Linked DNA regions of Caenorhabditis elegans. The protein of the gene in region 2 interacts with the protein of the main gene of each other region in a pairwise test. Each region holds a gene or a part of one and is shown on either strand. Other genes may lie near its edges.

Region 1 (6,755 bases), 690 kb from region 2:
TTTCAAACTCCCGCTGGTAGACTTTTTCAACAGAGCGCATTTGCTTAAACTCAAATTTTGTTGAATTTTTATCGTGGCTTTCAAAACTCGCGAAGAAATTGGCGGGTTTTTTTTTCTTTTAGTTATGCAACACAAGTTTTGTTTAACAAAATTTATAAAACAACAAAATTTATTTATTTTATTTTATAAAGTTTTTCAATAAAAATGTGCCAGGTTTTTACTTATCTCCCGTTTTTGTTGCTCAAAACTCCGCCCATTAATTCACAAATTTGTTTTTTCCAGAAACTTTTTCAGCCACCATTCATTCGAAGCGACTCTTGTGTTCTGTTTTTCTTTTTCGATTTAATTTTCTTGGCACATTTGCATACGTTTTTCACTTCTTCCGTGCATTTATTTGACGATTTGAAGTTTTTAAAGCAACATTTCTAGATTTTCAGACGCTTCCCGTTTCCTTTTAAATTCGTATGTGTTCCCGCGCGAAGTTTCAAAAATGATTGAATTTCTTTGACACATGAGAGGACAAATCGTTCGTTCACCTCCTCTTTAGATCTCCAGTTGCCCGTACCGCCTGGCACTGCACGTTTATCTATTTTCCTTTGAAAGTAAATTTCTGAGCTTCAAAATTTGAATTTCTCGGATATTTTCCTAGATCGACTTCGATTATTCAGATATTATTATTATTATTTGCAGAAAAGTTTATTCTCCTCGAAGAATGCTATCCGATTTGAAAATTAAAGTGTTTTTCGCACGCTGAATAGGTTCACTTCGATCATTTCAGAAAAGGTCCTCTCATTAGCCATCGAGTCTCATCGGCGTCGTTCCTTTTATGTATCATATCAGAGAGGGCAAACATTCATTCTTTCTTTCCCTTTCTCGCACCTCAACTCACTAGGTACAAGTATAATAATTCAAAAAAAAAACTTTTCGCGCCTTACTATATACTTACTTGCCGAAAAAAAACTGAAAAAGAACAAATTTCCAGAGGCTTGGATTACCGAATTACACACCTGGAATCACTCCGGCCAGTGGAGCGCACTTGCACACCCCCGCTTTTCTCAAACTACAGCGCGCTGCAGCGGCTCTCCTTCTTCACCAAGAATGGTGTGAAAATCTGTGTTCAGTTGGCGCAGTGGGTAGTGCGCTCCGTTTGGTAGAAACACTATTTGGTTCGATTCTATGTAGGGTGTTTCTTTTTTTTTTTTGTTAAAGTTTCACTTTTCTTTTTTTTTTTCCGGATAAAACTTATTTTTTGACAACTTTTAGCCCCTCAAAAAGCTCTGATAAAAGGCTTAGACGTCAGGTCCCAAAATTGAAAAAAAAAGTTCCAAAATTTTTATTAATTTTTTTGTTTCTTTCTTTGTGAAGTTTTTTTTTGTAAATTCGATGAAAATCGAACGTTCCTTATGAAGGCACCCTTAAAGAATACAAGCTGGAGTAAAACCAGTGAGAAAAGCGGGGGTGTGCAAGTGCGCTCCGCTGGCCGGAGTGATTCCAGGTGTGCGATTCCGTTAGCGTCCAGAGGCTTAGAATCTAAAGCAATTGTGCCACATTCTCCAAATTTATAGTAATTTTTATCATCGTCTTGCTCGACCCGCTCCACACTGATAACAATCTCTTCATTTTATTTTTTCCTTCTTCTTCCCGCCGGCGCGTAAATGTTTACAAATGGTGCAAACTCTCTGGGAAACTATCGATGGCGCCTAGAATACCACTAATTAGTCAAGTGGCGCGCAACCTTGGCAAAATCGTCAATGCCAATTTCTACAGGGTAAGCGTGACGAAGCAAGGCGATTTCGATGTCTAATCTCAGGTTAATATCTCAACCGTTATTTTCTCCAACTTTCCACCCTTTTTGATGTTGTGAACGTCGAGATTCCTGACTCTATGACATTCTTTTGAAGTTCCGTATTTTTGGAATATTTTTAAAAAATTAAGCTCGCGAATTCACAAAACTTTCTCAAGGTTATAGAACATTAAAACCCTAGTGAGAGACATATTACTGCTAGATGAGTTTCAATGTTTACCTTGTTTGCAGGTCCCACGCGGATTCTAAAGTCTAATGTGTGCCGATGTGTCATAAAAAACAATAAGAGCAGAGCACCAACAAGCCATGTTTGGCTCCATACGTTTCTTCCATTTTTCTATCGATCAGTTCAGTAGGACCGCTTAAGAGCCTATATACATCTCGTCATATTACCAAAGGCCGGGTTGCGTAATGGATTGCGTTGAACGTTTCCCCCCCCATCGAGGGAGGTCACCATTGCTTTCCACACACCAACACCACACTTTACCTACTAGTTCATATAACTTTTGATATTGATCCAACAAACATTGAAGCAAATTTTGCATTATTTCTCTCTGTCATTCACATTGCTCGGAGCCAGTAATAAGAGAGAGCAACAGGTGGTCTTTCTCCAAAATGAAGATCGCCGAACAGATATTACATATTGCCTGCTCGATCTAATCCTTATATGTATGCCGTTACACGTTATTCAAGACAATTTACCAATCTAAATGTTGTCCCATCTGGAACAAAGAGCATGCCATCTGAAGCATTAGATGGGAAACTGCTAGCAACAGTGACCCCTCCTCTCTCTATCTCTCTTCACCGTCTGTCCTGCCTTGAATGGTCCCTTGCATAACCGTACGCATTGAGCACCTTTCCGCAACATATCGATTAGTCTCTCTTTCTCTAATTGGTTTTCTTTCTCCAGTCATACCATTTTTCATTATTTGAAACTTAATTTCAGTTAAGGAATTAAAAAAAAAATCATTAGATTTATTCTATTTTGTTATTTACCTTTTCCCTTGCCTCATTCTTCGCTGTCACGTGTTTATTCCTTCGCCTGTTTCCTTGATTTTGAAATTAAATCTCTTTTTTACAGATTCCGACACAGCGCACGCGCCTAGGGACCAATTATCAAGCGCTTTTGAGAGCAGCAGATCGCGACGAGTATGCGGTCGGCACTTAGTTTGAAGGTAAGTATTTTCTGAAATTGTAAAAAATATATTTACAATGCGACTGTCAAATTAGTTACATTTATTTATTCGCGATCTTTTTTCAAATTTTCCGCATTTTTCGAGCTCAACTTTACCGAGCTGGTGGAAACAATTTTTTCCGATTTCTGATAAAAATTGGTAAGTGGTGAGTGCGTGAGACGCTGGTTTTTTAACAGTCAAAATGAATTCGATTCCTTTAAAATTATGTTTTTTATATATAATTAATAATTAAACCTATATTTCAGCCGAGCAACGGAAACGCGGCGAAAAGTCAAGCAGTGAACAACAAGAACGTGATCAAAAATGCACCATTGGGAGGAAAATTGACACGTCAAATTGGAACCAGTAATTTGCTTCAACAAGCTCTACCAAGCAAGAAAATAGATGAATCACCAATTATCAAAATAGATGCAAAAGACAGTTTTAAAGTATTTGAGGATCAGGAGCCAGAGAAAGAGAATTCTTCTGAAAATGTTGATGCAACGGAGAAAGATTCTAACGTAATACCTGCTGAGGATAACAATATGATACACGAATTGGAACGAAAGATGGAAGAAAAGGTTAGATTTGAACTCAAAATTGTAATTGTTTATATACAATTTTTTGCAGAGTCGTGCAGAAAAACTGAAGTTCAAGTTCATGCAGACTCGAGACAATAGTGATATCACCTCAAGATTCTCAGAACCACCTTCAGAATTCTCTGTTTTATGTGATGACGACGATTGTGATGTGAGACCAAGAAAATAATATCAGAAAATTGAACTTTTCTTTCAGAAAGTCTCCGTCGCCTCTTCAACCTTCACCACAAGCGTCCGTGCAACCTTCTCATCATTCCATTTTGATGAAAATCAGCGCAAAAAGGAATTTGGAAAAGAAGAAGCTGTGAAGAAGATTCAAAAGAAAGCAGCGAAGGAAGCTCGTGATGATTCAATGTTCAGTTCTGAAGAATTTTTCCCTGACATTATCAAGTACATGTTACACCGTCAAACGAAGAATCGAGCTTCACACGAATGCTTTGACATACAATCACAAGTTAATGAAGAGATGCGAACAATTCTCATCGATTGGTTCAGCGATGTCGTGAAAGAGTACAATTTCCAAAAGGAAACATTTCATCTCGCTGTGAGCCTCGTTGATCGGGCTCTTTCAATGTTCAACATTGATAAAATGCGATTTCAATTGGTTGGAACGACGTCGATGATGATCGCAGTGTATGTTTTTAAATAAAATATTTCAATTGAATGTGAATCTCAAATTTCAGGAAATACGAGGAAATCTTTCCGCCAGAGATTGAAGACTTTGCTCTCATCACTGACAACACCTACCGAGTTCCCGACATTCTTTTAATGGAGCGATTCTTGCTCGGAAAGTTTGACTTCGTTGTTGCAATGCCCACATCATCTTGGTTCGGAACATGTTTTGCCAAGAGAATGAACTTTACAAAGTGAGTTTTAATATCATCATTTTTAGCTCCTGTGAAAAAAATTAGCGATCTTTCTCAATTTTAAACGTTATTTTATTACAGAAAGATGCGGAATACTGTTCATTATCTCCTCGAGTTGTCGCTGATAGATGTCCATTTTCTACGTTACCGCCCATCCGATATTGCAGCTGCGGCTTGCTGCTTTGCAAATCTCCAGGCTGACGTTGAATCCTGGCCACAAAAAATGGTTGACGACACGGGAATCAGTACGGAAGATTTTGTGGACGTGCTGAGGGATCTTCACAGGATGTACCTGAATGCATCAACGGCAGATTTCAAGTCAATATTCTACAATTACTCGGAGACTGCACAAATGGAAGTGGCCCTGTTACCGGCACCTACTGACAAGCTTCGATCGATGTTCCCATCGATCTTTGTCACCGCTCCAAAATCTTCCAACGATAGTAGTAGTCCCCAGTAAATAATCCATGTTATATTCTTGAATTCTCCAAATTTCCCGACTTTCAATTTCATTCCCTGTCTTTGTTTGCCTTTATCGATTACATCTTCTAAAATTCTCCTTTTAAAACTACGATTTTATGTAACAATTCTTTGTATTTGTATAACTCATCCCGACAGGAATCGGAACATACACGGATATGATCCGATATTAAAAATTCCTTTTTTGTGTTATATGTAATAGTATTATCAGTGCTCTCCATCCACCCCCTTATCTGGCTGTTTTACAGCTTTTTCTCCAGTTTTCTTATTTATTTATGATACTCCTGGCTTGGCAACTATGATCTATGATTCCTTTTTGTTCCGAGCCGTAATTTACGCACTGCGCTCATTGTTTTATATTTGTTCCACGATCTCATCTCGTAGTTGCTCTCCCCATCGTTCTTTCGTTTCTCTTTTTCAAAATGTAAATCTAAAAATTTTTATAATCATGATATCAACTGAAATTTTATATTATTTATTGTGCTTTCCAAATGTTAGAAGATACCTTCTTTGTCAAATAAATCTTTTAAATAAAAAAAAACAAATAGTTTAACCGTGATAGTTCCCGTAGTTGGCGTATTCTGGAATTGGAAAATCATTCAATGAATCTGAAAATTGAAACTTACGAGAAACAAAAGCGTCTGCCATTTCTGGATCAAGCTCCTCGATATATGTAGAACAAGACATGTACCAGATTCTGAAAAAAACACTTAATCGAATTAATTAAATTTTTGATAAGTATACGGTAGCTTGTCTCGACTCGACAATTTAAAAAGTAAATTGCAAAAAATAGCGTGCGCCTTTAATAAATACAGTAATTCCCAAGTTATTGCTGCATCCCAATTTTTAGGATTTCATTTACACTAAAATTTTAAATGCAAAGTGTTAAATGAAAAATAGAGACTACTGTATTTTTTAAAGGCACAGCACATTACCCAAACGCGAAATTTTGTGATACACGACAACTTTTGTTAAATGCAAAAAGGAGCGCGTCTTTAAAGGGTACTGTAATCGCAAAACTGTGTATTTGCGAATTTTCCATCGAATTTTCAGAGTATTCTCATAAATTGTTTAAAATTATGAGCTTTTATTGTTATATTTAAGTTTTTGAATCAGAAAACATATTGTTATCGGAAAACTATGAAAAATGAACTTACAGTACCATTCAAAGGTGCAAATCTTTTTAAATAAAACAAAAATGTCGTGTTACCGTATTCTTGCGTCTCAAAAATGTTCAAATTAGTTTTCAAAGATATCCCCGTCATTTTTAAATTGTCCTTTCCCTCTAGAAACCAAACAGTTTCGAGGCCAATGATAACGCTATTCGATAAGAAAAAGAAAAAAGACTTTGAAAGATTGGGGTGCGTCTTTTGCGATTTCTTTCGTTTTCTCTTCCCAATCTTTCAAAGTCATAAGATGATAATGATAGAGATGGGTTTAAAGAAAAATTGGAAAAGATGTTATACCTGCAAAAGTATTTGAATCTCTCTTCAATTCGTGGCGGTTTACACCATTTTTGCATCCGATGGTATTCGTATTCACACTGGAAAATCATGTATTAATATTTAATAGCTGGCTTGATTTGATTTTGGGTCCCGGCACGGTTGAAACTTTTCAGATACCGTAAACAGTGGTTTTCAGTCTTTTTTTCTCGATTACCATAAATGTTTTGTTGTACAATGACCGTATTAGAGGTTACGGTTGCTGAGAAGTTTCACTCGTTTCAGGACCTGCGCCCATTCACAATTATTATATCTAGCGTACTTCAACTGTCATACGAATTTGATCAGTTTTGAACTGTGTACGTAATAAATAAGCGATTTTAAAACAA
Region 2 (8,613 bases):
ATGGAAATGGAAAATGATGATGATGGGGGGAGTCGGTGGATTAGTTGAAAATGACTTTCTGAACCCTTTTTAATAGTTTGCTGGCTTTTTCAGTTTCTAGAACCATTTATATTTTTGCTTAAAAATCTTCGAGGAAAGAAAGGGAGGTGAGTAGAGTACCGGTGGAATTCCTACTCTAGAAATAATGAAGTTATAATTAAAACAGTTATTAAATACTTCTACTATCGGTGATACCCGACAAATTGTTTTGGCGCATAGGAAACATTAACGAAATTCCATTTTTCTCATCGTTTTGTTGAAGTTTTTTTTGGAAATTTATGTAGAAATATAGATAAACATCATTACTTTCTGAAACAACTTTTACTTTTAATTTCCAAAAGTTTCTTGGAAACTCTCTCAAAATTGCAAAGACTCATTTGGAACGTTGTGACTTTGAGACAGGGTTTTGAGCGACGTATACTTTTATATAAATTTTCATAAAATACAACACATTCATAGCTGAAAGGTGAGCACTAAAGTTTTGAAGCTTGGTTTCAATAATAAAAATTATACGCGCAATTCAAATTTCAAAATTTGAGTCGTAATTATATAACTCTCACAATATATTATAAAAAAAACTCTGAACGGGGTAAAAGAAAAGTGGTTCAATCAAATGAATTGGTTGAAATAAACATGTTTTTCTCCTAGTGCCTAATTCCAAAAGATCCAACCTCCCAGTCCCATTTTTATGGGCAATTGGAAAGAGAAAGAGCACACGTTTCTTGAATTGAATTACAAATATATACGAACCAACAGAAAAAGAGAGAGGTGGATGGATAGAAATGAGCAAACTGATGTTGACAATAGCTTCTGTGAAAGGTGTTGAAGGGGAGAAAATAGTTGTAAAATTGTGAAAAGAAATGTGAAAAATGAAGCAGGAAAGCAATTTGAGAAAATTGCAACGAGGTACCTGGGAAAGAAAATTGTTTAGAAAAACAAGGAGCTATTCGTTTTGGAGACTGAAAAATCAAAGAGCGACTTGGTAGGTAAACTAAAATATTTAGTTTACCTACCAAGTCGCTCTTTGATTTTGAAATATTTAGTTTACCGCAGAGAAAATTATTCTACATACATCTATTTTTGCATCACTTGCGTTTAAGTCTACAAATGGAATTTGAAATTTGTAAAATCCTTGAGGAAATATGGCACTTTCAAGGAAAATGAAAATCGGAACGTTTTAATTTTTCAAAAAAAAATCCAATTGAGCAGAATATATAATTATTGAAAATATTGATAATCCAGTTCTTGATCTCTAGCAGCTGCATAAGACCTTCTTTTATCAGTTTCCTCGTAGCTTCTTCGGAGTTCCCATTGAGTTCCAGAATCTATTGTTGAACTGCTAATTGTTTGAATTTGTGAGTCTTTCTTTGTTGGCTTCTTTTCTGGTTCAATATTTGAAGATTTCTTTTTTCTTCCAACGAATATCCAAGAAACACAACAACAGCAACATACAAGTAAGAGAAGAACAAGAAGAATTACTCCGATTATTCTGAAAAAAGTTTAGTTTTCAAGATGTTCCTGTTTAAGATGTTCCAAATTAAGAAATCCAAAATTTCATCCCCTTATAGGGATGTTCTGAGAGATGTCTCATTCTACTACAGATGCTCAAATGAAAACTTAAATTTCTTCTGTGGATTTATATGACTTAGATGTGGATCTAGTTAGAGCTACTTTACAAAAAGCTTACATGGGTTCTTGTCTAAATCTCCAACAACAGTTTTCCAAGAACTCTCCACAACATTCATAATATGTGAAGAAAGAAGCAGTTGGACACCTCCTAAACGAGAAAAACGGAATTATTTGCCAATTATAATATTCTCCAACTTACATTGGAGCAGGTCGTGGTGAGTTAAAATACCACGGTCGGCGGCAAATGACGTCATTGTATGATTGAGATTTAACTGAAACAATTCTTTGACAAGGTATTTTAATAAAATTCATCATATTTTCCAATAAACTTGAAGCTAGGTGAGAAATATGGCTTGTAGCACCGAGATCGTGTCGAGACCCACTCAGAAATCCAGCGTGCGCCTTTCAAAATTAAATGGAAATCTCTAAAAAATGTTTATAGGTGAATTTCATCATACTATAGCGCCTTTTGAACTTTGAACTTTTAAAATTGTCGAAACTCACCATTTGAGATCAGAGTTAGATTTAAAATCAAAACGAATAATTTAAAGAGAAAGTGCATACTTATCGATAAAGCAGTATAACACAACTTTTCTGTCGACAAAGCTTGGAAGTTGTAGTGTCCAGAAAGCAAACATACACATATTCTCGCATAAGTTTCCTCGGCCTGTTGCGCACGTCTGACTCATATTTATTCATTCTAAACATCGCCCGAATTTCTGAAATTCTAAGAAGTACAGTAACCCGAATGGTCTCAAGGTAACCTATCTCCCCTTGAAATTAATTCAAGTTTGAATGAGAATTTTGCATGTTTCAAATTTTTCGTGACTCTCAATAACTACTGATTCTTGAAGTCTACATTACAGGCTATTAAATTAGAAATCGTAGGCCCGATTTTTATCAAAGTACCGTACCGTGTGAGTTTCAAGGGAGGCACGTTTTTGGGAAATGGTCTTGCGACGACATGGCAAGAATTGTTATTTTTTAAAGCGCCTTTTTCTGTTTTTGATTTTTCCCAATAAGTTTTTTATTTTATTCATAAAATATATCTTTTACATCTGAAAAAGCAAGTTTCTGAATGACAATGAATTTCTGTCGAAATTCAAATTCACAGCCGCACAGTTTTCGCGCCTAATTTGTCTGCGTCTCTTTACCGCGCACACTGTTTCGTCTACAACACTCCAGTGTTTCGGTACGCAGGTTGCCGCCAAAATTGAGTTTTGAATTTTAGGTGTCTTATTTCTCGTCGTTTTCCCGCATTCTCATTGTTTTCCTCTTCAGATTGCACCGACTTCCTGAATTTCTAGTTCTCTTTCTTACTTTTTCGATTAAGAAAGTTGCCTTAATTCTTTTTAAATCAATTCTTTCAGCATGGACAACATTATCGGCGGTCAAGCCCAGCAAGTGGAGGACACCGACGGAACTCGTGTGCAGAACGAGTTTTCCAAGTTTTTGAAGAGCTTCAAAGACCAGAAAAATGAGTTTATCTACAAATCTGCGATGAAGGAGCTCGTGCAACCAGAAAAGAATACCATTTTCATTAACATGCAACATCTCTACAAGTTCAGTAACAATCTCGCAACAACTATCGAGCTGCAATACTACAGGTAAATTAAATTCGATTAGTATTTTCGAATACTTATAAATATACTTCAGGGTCTATCCATTCATGTGCGAAGCTCTACACTTGGCCACTTTAGATGCTTGTGATGAAAGTGAGAGACAGCAAATGTTCAAGAAGCAATTGTACGTTTCGCTGTTCAATCTCGATGCGAAAACGAAAGTTCGTGAGCTTTCTGCGGACAAAGTCGGAGGCCTCGTGCGCATTGCCGGTCAGATTGTCCGAACTCACCCAGTGCATCCAGAACTTTCACGGGCTTGTTTCGTGTGTGAGGATTGCGGTGTTACCACACGTGATGTTCAACAGCAGTTCAGATACACTCAGGTATGCGGAGATAATAATTAGCTTATAACGAATTCAAATGTTTTCAGCCAACTAAATGTGCTAATCCTCAATGCATGAATCGTACCAGATTCAGTCTCGATGTCAACTCATCTACTTTCGTCGACTTCCAGAAGATTAGAATTCAGGAGACTCAAGCAGAGTTGCCTCGTGGATCAATTCCACGTACTGTCGATGTGATTGTTCGAGGAGAAATGGTTGAAACTGTCCAACCAGGAGATAAATGTGACATTGTTGGAACTCTTATCGTCATTCCAGATATTGCTCAATTGAGCACTCCTGGACTTCGTGCTGAGACTTCAAATCAGAACAGAGGTAAACAATTTTATTCGAAACTCATTTCTTAGTGGAAGTAGTTGTCGCAGATACCTTGATTGTCTTCTTTTTCGCTGGTTTCATACAGAAAACTCTTTCTCGAACAAAATCCATATAGATTTTTCTGGTAACAGGGGTAAAAATGAAGTATACTAGAAATACATGGCATGGCACCTGAGCTAGTCGAAAATAAGTGAATGCGAGCTTTCCGTCAAGCGAAAGATTTCCAAAGAGTTCCTGAAAACTTGCATAGTAAACGCTATTTCGTTGAATTTATACCGGAACAACTCGTAGAACAAGACTTGTTAGCTCATATACAGAAAGATAGAAAGCAGTGATAAAAGCTTGAATCATAAGCATTCGTTCAGTCTTCTTTTTCGCTTTTAAAACATCCGAAGGCATTGATGTAAACTGATCTCCATTCCCACGTCGGAACATATTTTTGATCTTTGTATATGTTGGTGATCTTTGAAGTTTGAAGTTTATAATAACTAGCACATTGAAAAAGAATGCTACGAACGGAAAGAATACAGAGTAATAATTGGAGAACGTTGTGATCTACAAATTAAATTATTAATTTTTGTAACACAGATATCATCCGTAGATCTACTTTACCTGATGCCTGTCTGGTGCACATTCAGATATGAATCCAACTTTTCGTATATCATAATTTATCCGACACTCACTCAGATAGGGAATAATAAGACATGCGAAATTGGCAGTCTGAAGAATAAATGTATCATTTGAAATCTTAGCATTTCAAGATACCATATGAAATGAAGTATAGAGCCATATTTTGCTAGAAGTGAAAAGCTGAGATGCCTGCATACTCACAACTACTGCTATTCGATTAATAGTCATCAGAATAAGTGTGAGCATTGGATGAAGATAATTGAACGTTACACCCACCGAAATCATAGCTCCTATTGAATCCCGATATGCTGAAAATATAGATTAGAAAATATATCCTTCCTCATGTGTCCGGACAGTTATTACTTTTATATGTTTTATCGGACATGTAATAGGGGAGTATGTAGACCATTATTCCGAATATGACTAGAAGTGCGTTAGAAATTGCCATGTTATAGATGTATGTGGCTGGTAGAGCATCTGAAATGAGATTTTTAAAAAAATAAAATCCCGAATTTTTCGTAACTGTTTTTAGAAGTTTTTATTGCCAGTGATAAAGTAATACAGTAGAATAAATTGAACACCGAACATGTCTCGTAAACCCATAGAGCAATACGCTTAACAACGGCAGCATCCACATCCATTTGTAGAAAAAAGAAACACACCAGCAGGTTGAATAATGTAGGAACCAATGGTTGGGTAGTATTCTTTTGGAAGATGTGATTATATGGACTCCTCGTTTCTCGATAATGTGGTGATTTTGATTTTATTAGCATCTAGTATTCGAACAATTATGGTCACGTGGAACGAGGAAGTAGAATTGATTTTCAGTGACTAGTGATTCCTATGGTTTCATAAATTTAAATATATATTTTAAGAAAAAAAACTAGCGAGACTCAACAATAATCTGATTTTTTACAGGCAGAGCGACCGATAAAAGCGAAGGAATCACTGGATTGAAAGCTCTTGGAGTCCGTGATCTTACCTATAAAATGGCATTCTTGGCTTGTCATATTCAACAAACCGAGAGTCTTGTTGGTGGAGATGCTTCGGGAGCTGTTGAGGAGACTGATTATCTTGATTTATGGTCGAAAATGTCAACAGAAGATCGTGCAACACTGAAGAAAATGAGTGACGATAAGAAAATCGAGAAGAACATTGTCGATTCACTTTTCCCGAACATTTATGGAAACCACGAAGTTAAGCTTGGAGTTCTTCTGATGCTTCTTGGAGGTGTCGCGAAGAAGAGCAGGGACGAAGGAACTTCACTGAGAGGTGATATCAACGTTTGTCTTGTTGGAGATCCATCAACTGCCAAGTCGCAAGTTCTGAAAGCTGTGGAAGAGTTCAGTCCAAGAGCTATTTACACTTCTGGAAAAGCATCTTCAGCTGCTGGTCTGACTGCTGCTGTTGTAAAAGACGAGGAATCGTTCGAGTTTGTCATTGAAGCTGGAGCTCTCATGCTTGCCGACAATGGAGTTTGTTGTATTGATGAGTTCGACAAAATGGACCTCAAGGATCAGGTTGCCATTCACGAGGCAATGGAACAACAAACCATTTCCATCACCAAAGCTGGAGTCAAAGCAACATTGAATGCCCGTGCATCAATTCTTGCCGCTGCAAATCCAGTTAATGGACGTTATGATAGAAGTCGTCCGTTGAAGTATAATGTCCAGATGTCAGCTCCGATTATGTCACGTTTCGATCTTTTCTTTGTGTTGGTCGATGAGTGCAATGAAGTTACTGATTACGCTATTGCCCGTCGGATCCTTGATAATCATCGTGCGATCAGTGAGCATACTGAACGTGACAGTGTTTACAAAATTGATGATATCAAGAAGTATATCGCGTTTGCTCGTTGCTTCAAGCCGAAGATTTCGGATAAAGCTGCTGAAACTCTTGTTCGAGAGTACAAGAAACTTCGTATGTCTGACAGCAACAATGCAGCCACGTCATCATGGAGAATCACTGTTCGTCAATTGGAGTCTCTCGTTCGTCTGTCTGAGGCTCTTGCTCGTCTTCACTGTGGAAAGGAAGTACTGGTGGAACATGTCGAAAAGGCTGCCGAACTTCTCAACAAGTCTATCGTCAGAGTTGAGCAACCAGACATTGCTTTGGATGATGACGACTTTGACAACAATATCATGGTTGTTGAAGCAGACAAAGAGAATCAAAGAGGAGATGATAGTATGGATCATGATGGAGAGAAGGAAAATGCTCCGAAGATTGATATAGCAAAGCTCAAAATCTCATTCAAGGAATACAAGCAATTGTCTGATGTTCTCGTTTTACATATGCGATCCGATGAAGACAATCAAGGAGAAGACGAGTATGATGGTGTCAAGCAGAGTGCACTTGTTGAATGGTTTGTTTAAATATTCAAATATTTAAATTTAAATTTCTGGTTTTTAGGTACTTGTCGACAATCGAAGCAGATTTGGAGACGGAGGAAGACTTCAACGTACAAAAGACTATTTGCGAGCGTGTAATTCATCGTCTCATTCACCAGGATCACGTTCTTCTTGAAGTTGAGCAAGGAGAAGATCCAACTCTCTGTGTTCATCCGAACTATGTTATTGCCGACGAATAATTGAAATAATTGCTTCCCGTGTGTATTGATCTCTTATCCAGGCTCTTTTACCGTTTATCATTATTTTTATCATCATCATCAACTCACTAATTTGCAATTAACTTGAGTATGACTATCACCGGAACTTTTGTGAATGAATTTTCATCAATATTTCCAAACTATTGCTATGTGTTCAAAGTGAAAAATGTATGGGCTGCGGCCTAGTTTCATTGACGGCCATGTACTTCTCGTGGACAACTTTCGCAAACCGAATCTTTTAGTTATCCAGATGTAAAATATTGGGATTTCTGTGCCAAAAACACGGTACCTAGTCTCGAAACGATAAATGTTTGTTAAATGAAAACGGATGTGCGCCTTTAAAGAGTACTGTAATTTACAGATTCATATTTTTTTGTTTTTTTTCTCCCGTTTTTCGATAATTCATGTTTTTAATGTTATTCTTGAGCTTGCTAATGAATAATCTTATTTTTATTTTAAAAAAACGATGAAAATCCCTTTAATTTAAAATTACAGTATTCTATAATGGTGCACATCATTTTTTCCTCAAACCTTTTTCGTGCGGAGACCGGCTACCGTATTTTTAGCTCAGAAATCAAATAATAAATATTTCAGCGTAATGTCTGAATCAGACGGAGCCTTCAAATCACCAAGTTTACCTCCATCTCATCATGCTCCGGCTCCAATGTCGCCTGAAAAAATTCGAGCTCCCGCTGAACAGATGGACGGTCCAGTTGAAGGAGTTATTGATGAAATTGAGGTTTGAAAAATATTTATTGATTATATATATATTGAAATAATCATTTTTCTTTCAGACTGCGGAAGTTCAAGCTGAAAAAGAATCGAAAATTTCAGTGCAAGCACCAGCTCTACACTATGAAGTGCCTCCTTGGGCTTGTGAACCGGATCCAGCTCATAAATTTCAGTTTGAGGTACATATTACCCAGACGCGAAATTTTGCACAAAAAATTCGGTACCCGGTCTCGACACGAAAATTTTTTGTTAAATGTAACAACGTCTGCTCCTTTAAAGTACTGTAGTTTTTTTTTCGATATGAATTAAATTAATTTATTAAAAAACCTGAATATGCAAATATATTACATTTCAATTTTGACAAATCGAGAGAAAAACTATGAAAATTCGGTGAAAATTAAGCAGCAATGAAAATTTGAAATTACAGTACTCTTTAAAGGCGCACATATTCTCGCATTTAACAAAAATTGTAGTGTTAGGACCAGAAACCGTAATTTTAATGCTAATTTTCTCAATTTTTCTGTTGATACAAAATAAAATAAAAACAATTTTTTCAGATTCTGAAAGAAGGAAAATTAATTGCTTCGTATGATTTGTCAAATCGAAAGAATTCAACGTTCGTAGTTATCGGAAGAATCAAGCCAGGATGTGATCTTTTAATGGAACATCCATCAATTTCAAGATATCACTGTATTTT
Region 3 (7,981 bases), on a different chromosome or scaffold from region 2:
AGATTGTGAGCTGGTTGGACGCTTTTTGCGTATTCTTTAATTTAATATTGAGATTTTTCTGGTGTTTTAGTTTTTCAAATTTTCAAATTTCGACACTTAAACCTGTTCTCCCAAATTTTATGTGATTCACCATTTCTCTCGATCATGTTTATTATTCCGTGAAATTACCACCTCCATGATGATATTTTCTTTCCAAATTTACCAATGATTAAAAATTTACTGATTTTATGTAATTTGTGCACAGATCTGGTTTTTGAATCTTTTTGATTTTCATTTCCACCCGATTTCTTCCCTTGCAGCTCCGATTTGCTTTAATTTCTTAATTTTCCGTCTTCGATTCCTTACTTTTGTCTATCAACCTTTCCAATTATGATAACTTCGCCCCGTTTCTATTTTGTTGCAATATTTTACACAGTTTGATTAATTATACAAGTTCATTCAAACAATTTTCGTGCACGAAACTGATTGTTTTTTTGTTTTGATCTTTTTCAATTTCCACTTGATTCTTGTCTCATCCCAATTGCTCCGGCTGGCTCAAAACTCTGACCTCTTCATGTATGTTTTTTTTTCAACGTTACCCGTAAATCATTTCATTTATGATATCTTCATCCCGTTCATACTTTGCATGTAATGTGTTGCTCAAAACTTACAGTGTTCTTGTACTAAACTGACATTTTATGTATTCTCTGATTTTCATTCCCATTCAATTTTTTCTCAACGTGGCTTCCCCGATTTTGTATTTGTGCATGTTTGATTTAAACTTATTGTTCTTCCATAAAAACATTGATTCGATATATTCAGATTTATGGATTTCAGGTAGGGGTGGCAAGAGTGCGACCTAGGTCGCTAGGTCGCTGTTTTCATTTAGGTCGCATCGCGACCTAGGTCGCATTGCGACCTGCGACCTAGCGACCTAGGTCGCTTTGCGACCTGCGACCTAGCGACCTAGGTCGCATTGCGACCTGCGACCTAGCGACCTAGGTCGCTTTGCGACCTGCGACCTAGCGACCTAGGTCGCTTTGCGACCTGCGAGCTAGCGACCTGGGTCGCATTGCGACCTGCGACCTAGCGACCTAGGTCGCTTTGCGACCTGCGACCTAGCGACCTAGGTCGCTTTGCGACCTGCGACCTAGCGACCTGGGTCGCTTTGCGACCTGAAGTACTGACATTTTGTGCCCTTTCGGTTTTGATTCACTTGAGTTGTTAAAATCTGTATAACTCGAAAACTACATAAGATTGCAGAATATGTATACTAACAAATTGCTACAAATCATTTATTTTACATTGTTTTCGATTTCTTATCCATAAGACACCTTGTCGAAAAAAGTTAGAACAGCCGACATAGGCCGGATTTGCTGCTGACTAAAATTGTTTCAACTTGAAAACTATGGTACTTATGGGTTTCAATGATTTGTAGCAATTTGTTAGTATACATATTCTGCAATCTTTAGTTTTCGAGTTATACGGATTTTAACAACTCAAGTGAAGCAAAACCGAAAGAGAACAAAATGTCGGTAATTCAGGTCGCAATGCGACCTAGGTCGCTAGGTCGCAGGTCGCTAGGTCGCAGGTCGCTAGGTCGCAGGTCGCAATGCGACCTAGGTCGCGACGCGACCTAACCCTCTAGGTCGCAGGTCGACCTAGGTCGACCTATAGCCACCCCTAATTTCAGGAATTTGAGAGTTTCAAGGTAAACAAGAAAAAACAAAAGGAACAATTGAAAAATCGACATCCAAAGTTTTTGAGACTTTTATTTTGAACAACTTCAGGAAGCTATCTAATTTTTTATTGCGAAATACAAATTTACCGTATTTTTCCAACTTGTCTCATAGCTCTATCGCTTCACTTTATCAGTTAGTACTTTTGTCATTTTTGGTTTTACCAAAGTTGCAGCATATGAAATACTTTTTTTTAAAAATGTTTCTCCACAGTTTTTCCGTTTTACCGGCTTACTTTTTTGGCAACAAATTGTTTTGTTTTCAAAACATTGGCTTTCGTCCTCGGATTTTTGTAAGACTACGTAATAACACTAATTCAAATTCTTTTATGTTTCCCAAAAAGCAGGCAACTTGATTTGAGAAAATTATGGTTATAAATTGCAATGTTGTGCTCTGACAAATGTATTCATATATTTATGCATTTATTTCCTTGGCCTTTTTTGTCAAATGAAAATATTTTCAAATCAAGATAAATCAAGAATAAAGGCTGAATGTACACACTGTTGATTTTCATACATATTTTCTACTATACTTTTTTTTAGATCCCCAAGTAACTATGACCTTGTGGTTAAGACTTTTTGAGAACTCTTTTTTTACGAACAATAACCATCTCACTAACGAGATATGTAATTTGATTTACCACCTTTCGGATACGCGCGTTCACCATTCCAGTAATGTAAACATATTCATTGATTGGTGCATCCGCTTTCGTTACTGTGAGCCCCTCTCCTCTCAGGCCTCCTTCCTTCAACTGTTGCTGCGCCCATGCCCATAACACTTTCTCTCTATCTCTCTCCCACTCTATCTCTAGCACACTAACTGATCAACATAAACCATGTCGCTCATCTTTATTTTGTCTTTTTTTTTTACTTTAATTGTGATTCAGGACAAATTAACAGACATTTCTCGCTACTAGTTTTTGTATGGAAGTAACTTATATCGGCTGTTCGAACGGAGCAAAGAAATTCATTCAAAACTGCATTTACTCGGTTTAAGTGACTCTGTTATTGCCGCTGGTATGATTCCACTTCTGTTTCTGTACGAAATCATCCCTTTAAAAATTAATTTATGTTTCTGTAAACATTCTGGCAAGAATAATTTTTTTCAGAAAACTTCATCGTCAATTTTTTTTGTTGGAAACAATCAACATGCCCAAGCGGTTAGTTTTCATAAATTTTTTATCCTAGGTGATTTCAACGTTGCAAACATTTTGAAAATTAAAAAAAACTAATGCAACGAATAATTGTTGCTTTTAATATGCTTTTGTTCTCAGACAGGAAACTCGGCTATTTTCTAAGCTATTGAATCTAGTTAAATAAGAAATATTTGAAACGGAGTTTTAACTGTATGTAAGTTGGCATAGTTTTAGTTTATAAAATTTAAAAGTTTAATAAGTCTTTACTACTCTAAAAAAGGGAATATTTGAAAATAAATTCAGAAATTGTTTTCCAGTAACTGATGGTTTGAGGAAACTCGTTTCTTTTTTAACATTCAAAATGGACCACGCCAGTATATGGGTTTTTATGTATGGGTTTTTGGGACCAACTCAATACACATATTATCTTAATTTCATTCAAAATAATTTTTCGGGGAGGGGCTCCATTTGTTTTTTAAATGTTTGGTGTCACAACCAACATTGAAAAAAAGTAGTTCCCATTTTACATTTTCAATTTTTTTAAAAGTATCCAACATATATACATCTTACATTTGAAATATAATTGTTTTGAATGCAACATTAAATAAAAGTTATTTTCAGAAATAAAAACGACGAACACGATGAGCTAGCAAAAAGGAGAAAATCAAACAACTGGCTCTACGAGCTTGATGAACTATTTGAGATCGAAAATATCCAGAAAAAGAATGCCGAATACATGTAAGTCCTTAGGTTAAAAAATGAAAAAAGCGCTTCATACTGATTTCTTTAAAAGTGGACTACGGCTTGTGGGGATATGATTAAAAGTTATTTAAATCGAGCTAAAATGATCAAAGATCACGAAAGCATTTTCAAAAAAAAATTGGTATTATTTCAAGTAAAAAAACGGAGAAATCTCAGTTTGCACTATTTTTTAGAAGTCGTCAATCAAAAAATGTGTTTTCTTCCAGTTTCACGTTCTAGGTAGTTTTGAAACATTCATACTTCAATATTGTCTGCGACACTGCTTTAAAGTTTTCGACACACTCAGTTTCCACTACTTGTCGGTTCGAAATAAAAAAGTTTCGAATTTGTTTTGAAAAGTTTTATTACAGTCATTAAATTATTTTGGCATTGTATTCGTTTGTAATACTGTTCATTTATATATTATAATTGCAATTTCAGGTTGTTCAAATCGTCACCCCAGAAAAAAAAGAACGTGGACTCCAAGTAAGTGTTTATTACATATATCAAATTTTTTCTTAACAGAAGTAATGTTTGAATTAATTAAACATATCAAAATTTTTAAAAGTTTAATTTTCTAAATTTTTAGAGTCGTGCTCAAACCAGACGTCAACCAACGTGATGTCTTTTTGGAAACTGGAAACAGGTGAGTAGAATTTTTTTTTTTTTTTTGGGTTAAAAAAATTTTTATTTGAATTATACTAAATCCTAAACCGAAACTAAATCCGTTTGTCATATTATCCAATTTATATATTTGCAGTTACAATTCGTTCAAATCGTCAGTCCAGAAGCAAAAGAACCCGGTCTCCAAGTAAGCGTTTATTACCGTATATTCTCTATACGTGCTGCGATGCAGCACTAAATTCCAGAAACTTTTTGAATGCAGCACTATTATAGACTTCAGTACTACTGGAGGCTGCAGCACTAATTTTCGCACCCCTTTGTCAATTGGAGATCGCTAGCTTTTAGTCACAAAATCTCATATTTTAAACACAAATTCATAAGGAGTGTGAATTTGTGTAGCAAAAATAAATGATACTTCAATTATGTTTATAAATTAAAAGTAATCAAAAACAAAATAAACAAAAACATTACCCAAAATTTCGAAACTGTTGAGATGACTCTCGCAATAAAAAAGGGGTGCAGCACTAACTTTCTGAAGGCCTGTTGGGGTAAACATTTAGAAAATTTAGAGCGCGTGAAATAATTTTATTATCAAGGTTTTATTCTAATTTTACAACATTTTAGGGTGATACTCCAACCAGACATCAGTCAACTCAGTGATTCTTCAGATGCGGAGGACAGGTAATACGAATCGGTTTTAAGTTTCACGTTTACAAATAGTACTGGAACGAATAAAAAATTTTATTTTCAAATACGACAACGAACATTTTTGATTTAAACATGAAAAGAACGAAAAAGACAAAAAAGTCAATTTTTAGCTGTAAATATGGAATCGAAATCTGGGAAAACGAGGAAAACTGCCAATTGCCAGTGTAAGTCGAAAAGTTTAATACAATTTTAAAAATTAAATTTCAATATTCTTTCAACAGAAACGCGAACTTTTGAATTTGGCTTCTTCGGGTTATGCTTAAATTTTTTAATTCTTCAAAATGAAAATAAAATTCAAAAAAATTTCACGATCTTATTCGAATTTAATTACTTTTTTTTTGAAATTAAGACAATTTTTCCCATAATTTCCTTAGAATTAGCCGTTTTCAAATTAGGACTAGCGGTAGCAAAGTGCTAATGAAGAATATACATACATACTTTTCCAGAGTCGAAATTAAGGAAAAATTTTTAAAATGTTAAAATTGAAGTTATCAAGCCTACTTAGAATGATTTTCTTCTGATAAATCACATTTTTGCCTATTATTGTTTTTAGTGTTAAAAAGGTTTTAATTGCAGCAAACAAACACTTCCTGAACAGCCGGAAGAGTTTCACATTGGCCGTATCAAAGCCAATCTGAAATTTCTCATGCAACAATTGAAATATCTCTCAGGTTGTGAAAATGGTAGGTTTGAATTTGATAAATACATTTTCTGTTTATAAATATTTCACACATTGCCCTGTTTTTAATAGTCACTTTAATTTTTACAGGGGAACAACACGCTAACGAAATTTTCAAAAGCCTGCCCGCCCAAGTGTGGGACCGAGCATCTCTCAAGCGAGCAGAAATTGCTGAGGATCTTTTGATCGCTGAAGAATTTATCGAGGCTCGGCGTGGTCAGCTTGAGCAGGATGATAAACTCAAAGTTTATTTATACAATGTTTTGGAAAATAAACTGAAGAAGGAAAATAATCCAGTCCTTCTCACTATTGTTCTTCATTTGGAGAATAAATTTCGGCAGTTGAATGCCGCGGATTTTGCCGCTCTAGAGGCTGCGATGAAGGCTGAACTGTGTTTCTAGATTCCAAATCGGTTTTGACATTCCCGATTATCCTATTTAAATTTTTAGAATTTAAAATTGTTGTTGTTTGTTGATACTATCCTCATTACTATGTAATATTGTTGATACTTTTAATCTCTTTTTTCCCGTCATTAAATCTCTTATTCTCTTGCTCAGATGTTCTCTTTTCCCGAAAAACATCCTTTCCCTTCTACCGTTTCCATTGTTTTCTTCTTCCCTGGCCGCAATTTCATTATTCAGATCTATTGTTTTCTGAACGGACCAATTTATCTCATACTTGATTCACGACCTCAATTGAACCATCGGAGTTTGTTCACGTTCCGTTTGATTAAAATCGTCCAACTCCAATTTCAAGCTCAAATATGGTTTCTTCCCTTTTCGGTCCGCTTAATTTCTTTCTCATTTTATTTGTTCAAGTTGGCTCCGAACGTTTCAATTTTCTTTCATTTTTTCTTACTGTTGTCCTTTAACATTTACAAGTATAATATCTTCACTCTTTTTCACATTTTTTATATTCTATCTCCCAAATCATAACTGTTGTTTTCTAATAAACAGAAACAACTATTACTTTATATATTCAGATTTATTGATTTCATAAACTTCAGATCTGCAGCTGCAAATTACAAACAAGACAAAAGGAGAAGGGACAGGACTACACGGCAACCTTGCTACTACTTTCGTATTCATTATTCCAGAGGGTTTCACAGTGTTATGGTTTGATATTGGGGGTTTTACTACACATGACTAATTTGAAAATGTCTCAAGAAAAAAGAAGCACGGATAAGGAGTAAAAATTGCAGTGGGAAAATTATGATTATGATTAAGACAAATGGATGGAACATTTAAAAGTAAAAAAATCAGGGATAGATCGTTATGTAAGCAGGGTTTTCAGGTTATGCCATTTGGTCAGGGAAATGGGAGTTTCAAGAACGGAAGACAGACAGCTTGTAAACTTTAAACAAAAATAGTGAATTGGCATGTTAAGAGAACTCCTAACGGTACTGGAGGCATTCTAGTTGTAATGAATGTTTGAATTCCAGTTTTGCATTACCACTAGAATGAGTTCGAAATATGGAAATTTGATTACTTTAGAAAAAAGTTTAGCACTTAGAAATTAATCTCAAGTTTCAAACACTACGGCTAATGAACGTAAAAATTTGTTCTAATGATATTTGGTTAAGAGATCAAAGATTTTATGGCAACTGGGTGGTATCATGGACGAGAAGATCTGGCTTCATGGACTCCTTGAAGCATTCAAAGTAATATTTGTTGATAATCACTACCAATCGTTCATTTGGTTTAGTGGTTGGCAAGCTTACCAAATCAGCTTCAAAGACGTTGATTGGAATCATTCCACTGAAAACGTCACTATTAGATGAAAAATGTACTGGAAAATTTACTTCTTGCGGACATATGCCATCTCGTCGTCATATGCGGTGTACTTCAAGCCACTGAGCACTTCCTTCATCTTCCAGTTTCCGTGCCGACATCCCACTGATGCGAAGTAGTTGTCCGGAATATCATCAGCAAGACGCGCCTAGAAATCAAATTACAGTTATTTCGTTTCACTTAAAAGAGGACTAATGGTTCTGGGAGTTTTTTTGTTGCTTGTGTCTAATTTGATCTAGAATCATTAACATTTTGAAAGAAGAAGATTTTCGTTCAATTAGTTGTATTTCTATACAAAATAAATGTTGATCGGATAGTTCTTTTTTCTATAAACACTAAAAAGCAAAGAACCGAAAAGCTTGGAAAACTGTGCTCCAGGCCGTAGGCAAAGAACGGATCGACTAAGTATCCTAAGTAAAAAAGTATTTGGTATTATTCATGAGAATTTTTTAATTAATTAAATCAATCATCTTTCTCAAAATTATAACACTGACAAGCGATATCATGAAGATTATAGAAAATAAGTTGCATTGCTGATTGTGTCTAACTAATCAAGTTGCTCTATGAATTCCCGCATTACCTTAAT
Region 4 (6,362 bases), on a different chromosome or scaffold from region 2:
AAACGATTTCGTTATAGAAAAACTTGTGTTGCAGACAAATGCCAATCGTGATAGCCATATCCGGTAAACGAAAATCTGGAAAAGATTACTGTACAAACTTGATCAGAGAAGTATTGGTGCAAAAGCGATTTGATGTTTCAGTTGCGGGTATTTCACATAGCCTGAAAATGGAATTTGCTAAGAAACATGGTGCTTTGTTTGAAAGTAGAGTTTGATCATTCGAAAATAGGATTTTTCAGGTTTAAAGTATGAAGAACTTCTAACTGACGGGCCATACAAAGAGCTGTATAGAAAAGATATGATCCAGTGGGGAGAAGAAGCGAGATGTAAAGATTCCGGATTGTTTTGCAGGTTGTTGGAAACTTGAAATTGTATTTGACAAATTATAGTATTTAAGAGCGGCGATCAGTTCAACAATGGACAGCGACATAGTTATTATATCCGACTGCCGACGAAGGACAGACTATGAATATTTCAGTGCCAACTACAGAACTGTAACGATTCGAATCGAGACAAGTGAAGAGGATAGAAAACAACGAGGCTACCAATTTGTCGAAGGTGTCGATGATGCCGAATCTGAATGTGGACTTGACGACTACAAATTCAACTTAGTTATCAAAAATCAAAGCGGAACAGATTTATCTCAACAACTAAATATGGTTACTGAAAAGATTTCCCGAATCATTGATAAATTGTAAGAAAATCTTTCAATTATTGAACAATAACGATAAAAAACAACTGAATAGAAAGCTACCTATCAACAAGGAATAAAAATTCTCAATCGTGATTTGGTGGAATGTGAACATTTTTTGTGAGGTCATCAAATGCCAATTTGTCAAGATATGCATTTCGATCAAGGGAAATGAGAAGCGGCCGCTTGCCCACAAAAGCTGTTGCCAGAGGGATCCATACTTTCTTCATTTCGGGAGCTACGGCTGCATCGACAACTTCAGAAGCTGAGAATCTCAATGCTTGTTTTTGCATTAAGAAATTGTAATGAACAGTTGTGAACACCTGTTAAAATGTTTTTGAAATGGATTAGAAAATGGTCATGCACTACCTTTTTGTCATTATTGTAAAATATGTCGATGGGAAATCGTTTTGCAAGAAAATGAAGTAGTAGCGGAGTGAAAGATAGCAGGACGAGGAAGGTGTTGGCCACTGAAAATAATGAAATTTGAAATAATCCGTTCTTCAATAGAGATAATTCTTACCAATTGCAAACATCATCATCGAAGGTCTTTCAGCAGCTGCTTCCCACAAATAGGAGGATAGCACGGGAACCATGACTACTCCGGCAAGAGATGAAGACAGTGACAGAATCTGAATTTTTGATTAAGACAAAAGAACATGCTCCGTTGAACGAACTTTAGCTCCTTTCACACCCATCGCGACTACATCATGAGGAGTTTTTTGTGATCCGGGAGGTAATGTTCCCTTGTGGATTAGAATGGAGTGTCCCAAGTCATCTTTATCAATCTTTGACAATGGTAGAACTTCGACGTTGCCTGAAACTCAGATGGAAACAATAATTTGAAATTTGAAATAAATCGCTTACACTTTGACGTTGTTCCAAGACTTCTTACACATTTTTGAAAGTTCGATGAGCTGATTCTAATCGGGCGGAGCAATGCATATAATGAAGACATAATTTATTGATACTACCAAGAAGCTAAGTGTTGAAATTTATTAAAAGCAGGTTCAGCGCAGGAAGATTTCACTCAAGATTAAGTTGTCCAAGAGGAGTACACGGACCAGAGTTCGTTCAAACATTTCTAGGCCGCGACACAAGTGCGCTCTACTGCTTCACTGTTACAACGAAAAATCTCTTCATTTGCCACATCATTTCAATAAATTTTTGATTATACTCTCAATATGTCGAATGGATTTTGGATGGATGATGGACAACAACAACAGGGTATTTTTATTTAAAGTATAATGTTTATAGTTTTATAATTTTCAGGAGGATGGAACACTCAAACAAATCAACAAGACATGGGTTGGGGTCAATTTGATTACTCGCAGCCACAACAGCCACCGCAGCGTGAGATTTATTTGTAATTAAACAAATTTCTTGAATATCATTTCACCTTCAGAAGCTGGAAACGACTACTATCAACAAAATCAACAATATCAACAACCACAAACCAATTATTATGGAGGACAAATGTTCATGCCAAACAACGGGACGGGAGGTACATATATATTTATATCAATTCTTCATTCTGAAATGCATTTTTAATTCTACAATTTTCAGCAATTCCAAACGCCGGTGTTGCTGCTGATGGCGAAGACTATGAAAATGAGCCACCACTCTTGGAAGAACTCGGAATTAACTTCTCACATATCAAGGAGAAAACTATTGCTGTTTTAAATCCAACTGGATCTGCAACTGTCGAAGTTATTGCTGATCAAGATCTTGCTGGACCTCTCGTCTTCTGTCTTCTTTTTGGAGCCGCTCTTCTTCTTCACGGCAAACTCTCGTTTGGATTTATCTATGGAGTTGGCGGACTTGGATGCGTTGGAATTTATGCCCTCATGAATCTCATGGCAACGGACGAGAAAAATATTTCCTTCACCTGCACCGCATCAGTTCTTGGATATTGTCTACTTCCAATGGCTCTTCTGAGCATTGTTACAGCTGTATTATCATTCAAGGGCATTATCGGGTATATTATATCGTCGCTTGCTGTCCTTTGGTGTTCTTCTGCTTCATCAAAATTGTTTGTAATCGCTTTGTCAATGGATCACCAACGTCTTCTCGTTGCATATCCGTGTGTTCTTCTCTACTCTGTTTTCGCCCTTCTTGCCATTTTCTAACGTCGTGTCTTCTTGTGAATAGTTTAAATACTTGAGTAATTTATTATCATTATTTATGAGTATAGTGCCTCAATTAATTCATTATCATAAACTATTTTTTGTCATTGATCCTGATCTTGATTTACAAACTTAATGTTAAAACTCGTTTGCATACTTTTTGGTTTCGTATATCTGGAAATACTGAAATTGTTTCAGATGGATCTTAAAATTGAAAAAAAGGAGGAAGCGGAAACGTGGCTCATCAAACCACTTCCAGGTTATGTGTGTAAATGGAAGGATGTAAAAATCAATGGAATTGTAAACGATGAATACCGAAAGTGTTTTGTAAATGTATGCCATTGCGAGCAATTACCGCCACCAATCGACGATTTTGATCAAGTAGGTATTTTGAAATTATTTCCGTAATATCAACTATTTTTAAAGGATGAAATTGCTGCTCAATTAGATGCTGGAAATCCGTCATTTCGAATTCCGATGAGTGTTGGCGAAATTGACTGCGTGAAAGATCATAGTGATGAAAATTCGATCAAGGTAGTTTAATTATAAATGTTTGATTGTTAGTATGAAATGTTTTTAGATTGATGTTTTGGTAAACAGCACATTCTATAAAAAACGACTAGCGTCTCCAAATGACGCATTCTTCCGTCATCTCCTTTGTCTAATTTTCTGCGATCTTGTGAAGGATAGAGTCAGTTGAAATTTTATCAATTGAAATAACATAATTCTTAAATTCAGCACTCCATTGACTTAGACCCATTGAAACCAATCGTTCTTCGCAATCGTGTTTCAGTTGGAGAACTTGAAGTACAAAAAATTCACAAAAAACCAGAAAAACAGATTGTCGAAGAAATGTATCAGGAAGATAAAGTTAGAATGGAGAAAGAAGAAAAAAAGCAAGTTGGAAATGATGATGTTGCTGAAATGAAAAATGAGGTTAGTTATTTTTGTTGCAACAATAATTTTAACTTTAAAATGTCTCCTTTAGATGTTTGGCCTGAAACACATTGATGGAACAAGAATACGACTTTTTGATGGTGACAGACTCGAAATCAGTATGCGATGTGAACTTAATGGCGAACCAATCAAAGATCCTAGAAGGTGGGTACATTATTTTAAATTCAGTTGAAATATAAACAATCAAAATGCGAGTTGAGTTTTCAAAAAGTGTGAACACATAATTAAAATCATCGATTTTTCTTTCAATTTCAAATGTTGACTATGGCCAGTGGGGAAATGATTGAAATCCATCCCTATTATGCTAAAATGTCGAAATTTCATAATAAATTAAAAAAAAACATTTTGACAAATTTTTATTTTTTTATTTTATTTTAAAAAAAAATCTAAATTACTGTCGGATGTTTGAACCCTATAATGTAATAATATGAATATTTTGAACATAATTAAAACATAAAATTGGAAGACAAATTGTTTAATCGACTTTCAGAAAATTCGTGAAAATTGAGTTTTTGACTCGAAATAAACATATTTCCAAAATTTTTCCAACAGTTATATTTATTTCGCAGTTTTAGCACCGCAGGAATGGTGTTTAATCATTTCCCCACAGGCCGTAACATTAAAAAAAATGTATCGTAATTTAATTTCTACCCGATGATAAATAATTTTCCAAAATCGTCTAGAATTTCTCAAGATTCTCAAAAACACAGACTTCATTATTATCTATATTAGTTTTACGTGCAAGACTTATTATTGATAAGTTTGTAGGTGTGAAAAACTGTATAAAAGTTTTTAATCCATAAGAGGCTACAAAGCTAATTTCCAATTTGTACGTAAAGAAGCAGAAGCAAAAAATACCTGATTTTGAAAAACCTAAAATTGATAACTTGAAAGCTTTTTTTAAAAGCTTAATATTTTTCAGACTAGAACTCCAACTCAACCCCACTCGATGCTTGGTAACGTTGGATAAAAGTCGCAGCCTTTATGATTTCGGACTCCCATTTCACATCAATCCGTCCACAGCCAAATCCAAATTCAACCACGAAAAATTCACACTAGTGGTTTCAGCAAACATTCTGTTGTGATACTGTAATCTCGCGTTTCTTCTAGATCTCTATTGTTGAATGCCGTTGTTTTTCTACTTGTTGATTTTGTTCCCAGTTTTGGAATTTTTCAGATTTGTTTTACTGATTAAAATTTAAAAAAAAATCTATATTATTGCTTTTGAAAATCGCCGAATAGATATAATCAACTAAAATAAGATCCAGAGCGTTTCGATCCTAAAAAACATCACATGCATATTGCGACTTTTTGAAGTTCAAACAACGAAACAGTCAATAAAATATCCTATGAAAACAAAAATTAACCATTTTTGATGTTTTTTGCCCGTGCAGAATCCTATTTCGAAGTAAATTATTTTCAAAGTAAGAAAGCGGACTAATTCACAACTCAATAAATGCAAAGTTATTTCTATTTTTCTGAAGGTTTCTAAACAAGAAAAAGCTTATTTTAACGTATTTCTTCTCTAATTCTCCATTTTCGTCTTCATCACGTAGAAACCAACACTATTTTCAATGTTTCTCATCCTGCGTCTTCCATCTCGATGTTTCATGTCAATGTTTCATTGAACTTATTGGTTTGCCCGTTTTCTGTGTTACATCAGAGTCCAGTTCTTCAACTACGATCAACCCATCACGTATGACATAGAGGAAGATAAGATGGTTTTTAGCCGAATTCTATCACTTTTAACCTCTTGTTCATTTGTATTTTCTTTCATTTCTTTCATTTTCATTCACATTATTTAGAAAATGCGGCGAGTCTTCAGTTCTCAAGCAATTCAAACGGCAATTGAGAAATCTTTGCCAGATCTTCAAAAAATTGTTGGAAACTCTTCTGTTCGGACACAAGAATCTGTAAGAAGGCAATTTGCACGAGATGAAAGTCATTTTATGTGAGTTTTGAACGGAACAATTAGATTATTGGCCAACTCCTTACAACTTCAACAATTGACTACTTTCAAAAGTTTAAAGGTGTCGCAATTTAACATTTTTCTGAAACGCCTACTGTAAAATTTCTATTCTGAACAATTTTTCTTTATATTTTTAGTTGGCATTTTTTTTAAATAAAGGAATGAGCGATTCCCGAAATTTTTTAATGCAGTGAGACCCATCTTAAAAAATCGGTGCCTTAGTACGCGCAACAAAAATTTTGTGATTAAAAAAAAACTTTAAAAATTAGATAACAACAGTTGTTTACATTACTTTTGGAAGGATTCTCATTATTTTCCACCAAAAACATGATACCTCTTACTAGCACGAATATCCTATCTCAACTTGCAAAGACTATAAATCATTTCGGAAATTTTTTTTATTTATTTAGTTACTACTTATTGAGCTTATCCAGATAATCTTGGTCTATATTTTTATCACCAAAAATCACATATTGAAGATCAACATTTTTTTCCAAATTGAATATTGAACTACAAAAATAGCTACAGAACACTTTTGAATAGTGCCCGGCATTATAATATTTTAAAAATAGACTGTGCAACTGATTGTCCAATAATATACTCTAGGAAATAACACTTC

What was found.
Region 1: the proteins of mcm-6 (region 2) and cya-1 interact in a two-hybrid assay, tested with the Caenorhabditis elegans proteins (one large-scale study listed by BioGRID).
Region 3: the proteins of mcm-6 (region 2) and T24D5.3 interact in a two-hybrid assay, tested with the Caenorhabditis elegans proteins (one large-scale study listed by BioGRID).
Region 4: the proteins of mcm-6 (region 2) and F32D8.4 interact in a two-hybrid assay, tested with the Caenorhabditis elegans proteins (one large-scale study listed by BioGRID).

The regions. Positions count from the first base shown.
Region 1 is NC_003281.10:9,105,403-9,112,157, reverse strand, and holds cya-1 (G2/mitotic-specific cyclin-A1), read left to right. Parts: upstream 1-2,885; 5' UTR 2,886-2,955; coding exon 2,956-2,979; intron 2,980-3,245; coding exon 3,246-3,560; intron 3,561-3,609; coding exon 3,610-3,729; intron 3,730-3,774; coding exon 3,775-4,211; intron 4,212-4,261; coding exon 4,262-4,444; intron 4,445-4,525; coding exon 4,526-4,904; 3' UTR 4,905-5,459; downstream 5,460-6,755. Other genes in the region: dos-1 (Delta and osm-11 homolog protein 1), read right to left, coding at 5,474-5,505, 5,551-5,621, 6,391-6,467. UniProt on the Caenorhabditis elegans protein: Involved in the control of the cell cycle after S phase. May bind to and activate cdk-1 and/or cdk-2 to promote cell cycle progression. Necessary for embryogenesis.
Region 2 is NC_003281.10:9,791,329-9,799,941, forward strand, and holds mcm-6 (DNA replication licensing factor mcm-6), read left to right. Parts: upstream 1-3,038; 5' UTR 3,039-3,039; coding exon 3,040-3,275; intron 3,276-3,324; coding exon 3,325-3,613; intron 3,614-3,660; coding exon 3,661-3,946; exon of another isoform or gene 3,947-3,967; coding exon of another isoform or gene 3,968-4,183; intron 4,184-4,225; coding exon of another isoform or gene 4,226-4,504; intron 4,505-4,561; coding exon of another isoform or gene 4,562-4,669; intron 4,670-4,714; coding exon of another isoform or gene 4,715-4,887; intron 4,888-4,942; coding exon of another isoform or gene 4,943-5,056; intron 5,057-5,102; coding exon of another isoform or gene 5,103-5,220; intron 5,221-5,495; exon of another isoform or gene 5,496-5,497; coding exon 5,498-6,941; intron 6,942-6,988; coding exon 6,989-7,166; 3' UTR 7,167-7,315; downstream 7,316-8,613. Other genes in the region: R10E11.9 (uncharacterized protein), read right to left, coding at 1,258-1,528, 1,727-1,816, 1,868-1,940, 2,173-2,230; srxa-10 (Serpentine receptor class XA 10), read right to left, coding at 3,968-4,183, 4,226-4,504, 4,562-4,669, 4,715-4,887, 4,943-5,056, 5,103-5,220; ZK632.2 (uncharacterized protein), read left to right, coding at 7,783-7,923, 7,979-8,095, 8,474-8,613.
Region 3 is NC_003284.9:12,577,208-12,585,188, forward strand, and holds T24D5.3 (RXT2_N domain-containing protein), read left to right. Parts: upstream 1-2,866; coding exon 2,867-2,877; intron 2,878-3,474; coding exon 3,475-3,591; intron 3,592-4,035; coding exon 4,036-4,080; intron 4,081-4,183; coding exon 4,184-4,240; intron 4,241-4,354; coding exon 4,355-4,405; intron 4,406-4,842; coding exon 4,843-4,899; intron 4,900-5,036; coding exon 5,037-5,090; intron 5,091-5,502; coding exon 5,503-5,609; intron 5,610-5,695; coding exon 5,696-6,006; 3' UTR 6,007-6,557; downstream 6,558-7,981. Other genes in the region: T24D5.1 (DUF1716 domain-containing protein), read left to right, coding at 1-2; T24D5.2 (DUF38 domain-containing protein), read right to left, coding at 7,200-7,362, 7,407-7,543, 7,976-7,981.
Region 4 is NC_003283.11:10,890,214-10,896,575, reverse strand, and holds F32D8.4 (PIH1 N-terminal domain-containing protein), read left to right. Parts: upstream 1-3,015; coding exon 3,016-3,198; intron 3,199-3,243; coding exon 3,244-3,351; intron 3,352-3,397; coding exon 3,398-3,508; intron 3,509-3,555; coding exon 3,556-3,753; intron 3,754-3,805; coding exon 3,806-3,918; intron 3,919-4,696; coding exon 4,697-4,859; 3' UTR 4,860-4,979; downstream 4,980-6,362. Other genes in the region: F32D8.13 (Phosphomevalonate kinase), read left to right, coding at 39-189, 240-351, 398-694, 747-771; F32D8.5 (Transmembrane protein 70 homolog, mitochondrial), read right to left, coding at 778-1,014, 1,061-1,161, 1,215-1,323, 1,369-1,514, 1,559-1,649; F32D8.14 (Protein YIPF), read left to right, coding at 1,876-1,918, 1,964-2,044, 2,097-2,195, 2,258-2,820; F32D8.12 (D-lactate dehydrogenase (cytochrome)), read left to right, coding at 5,583-5,725.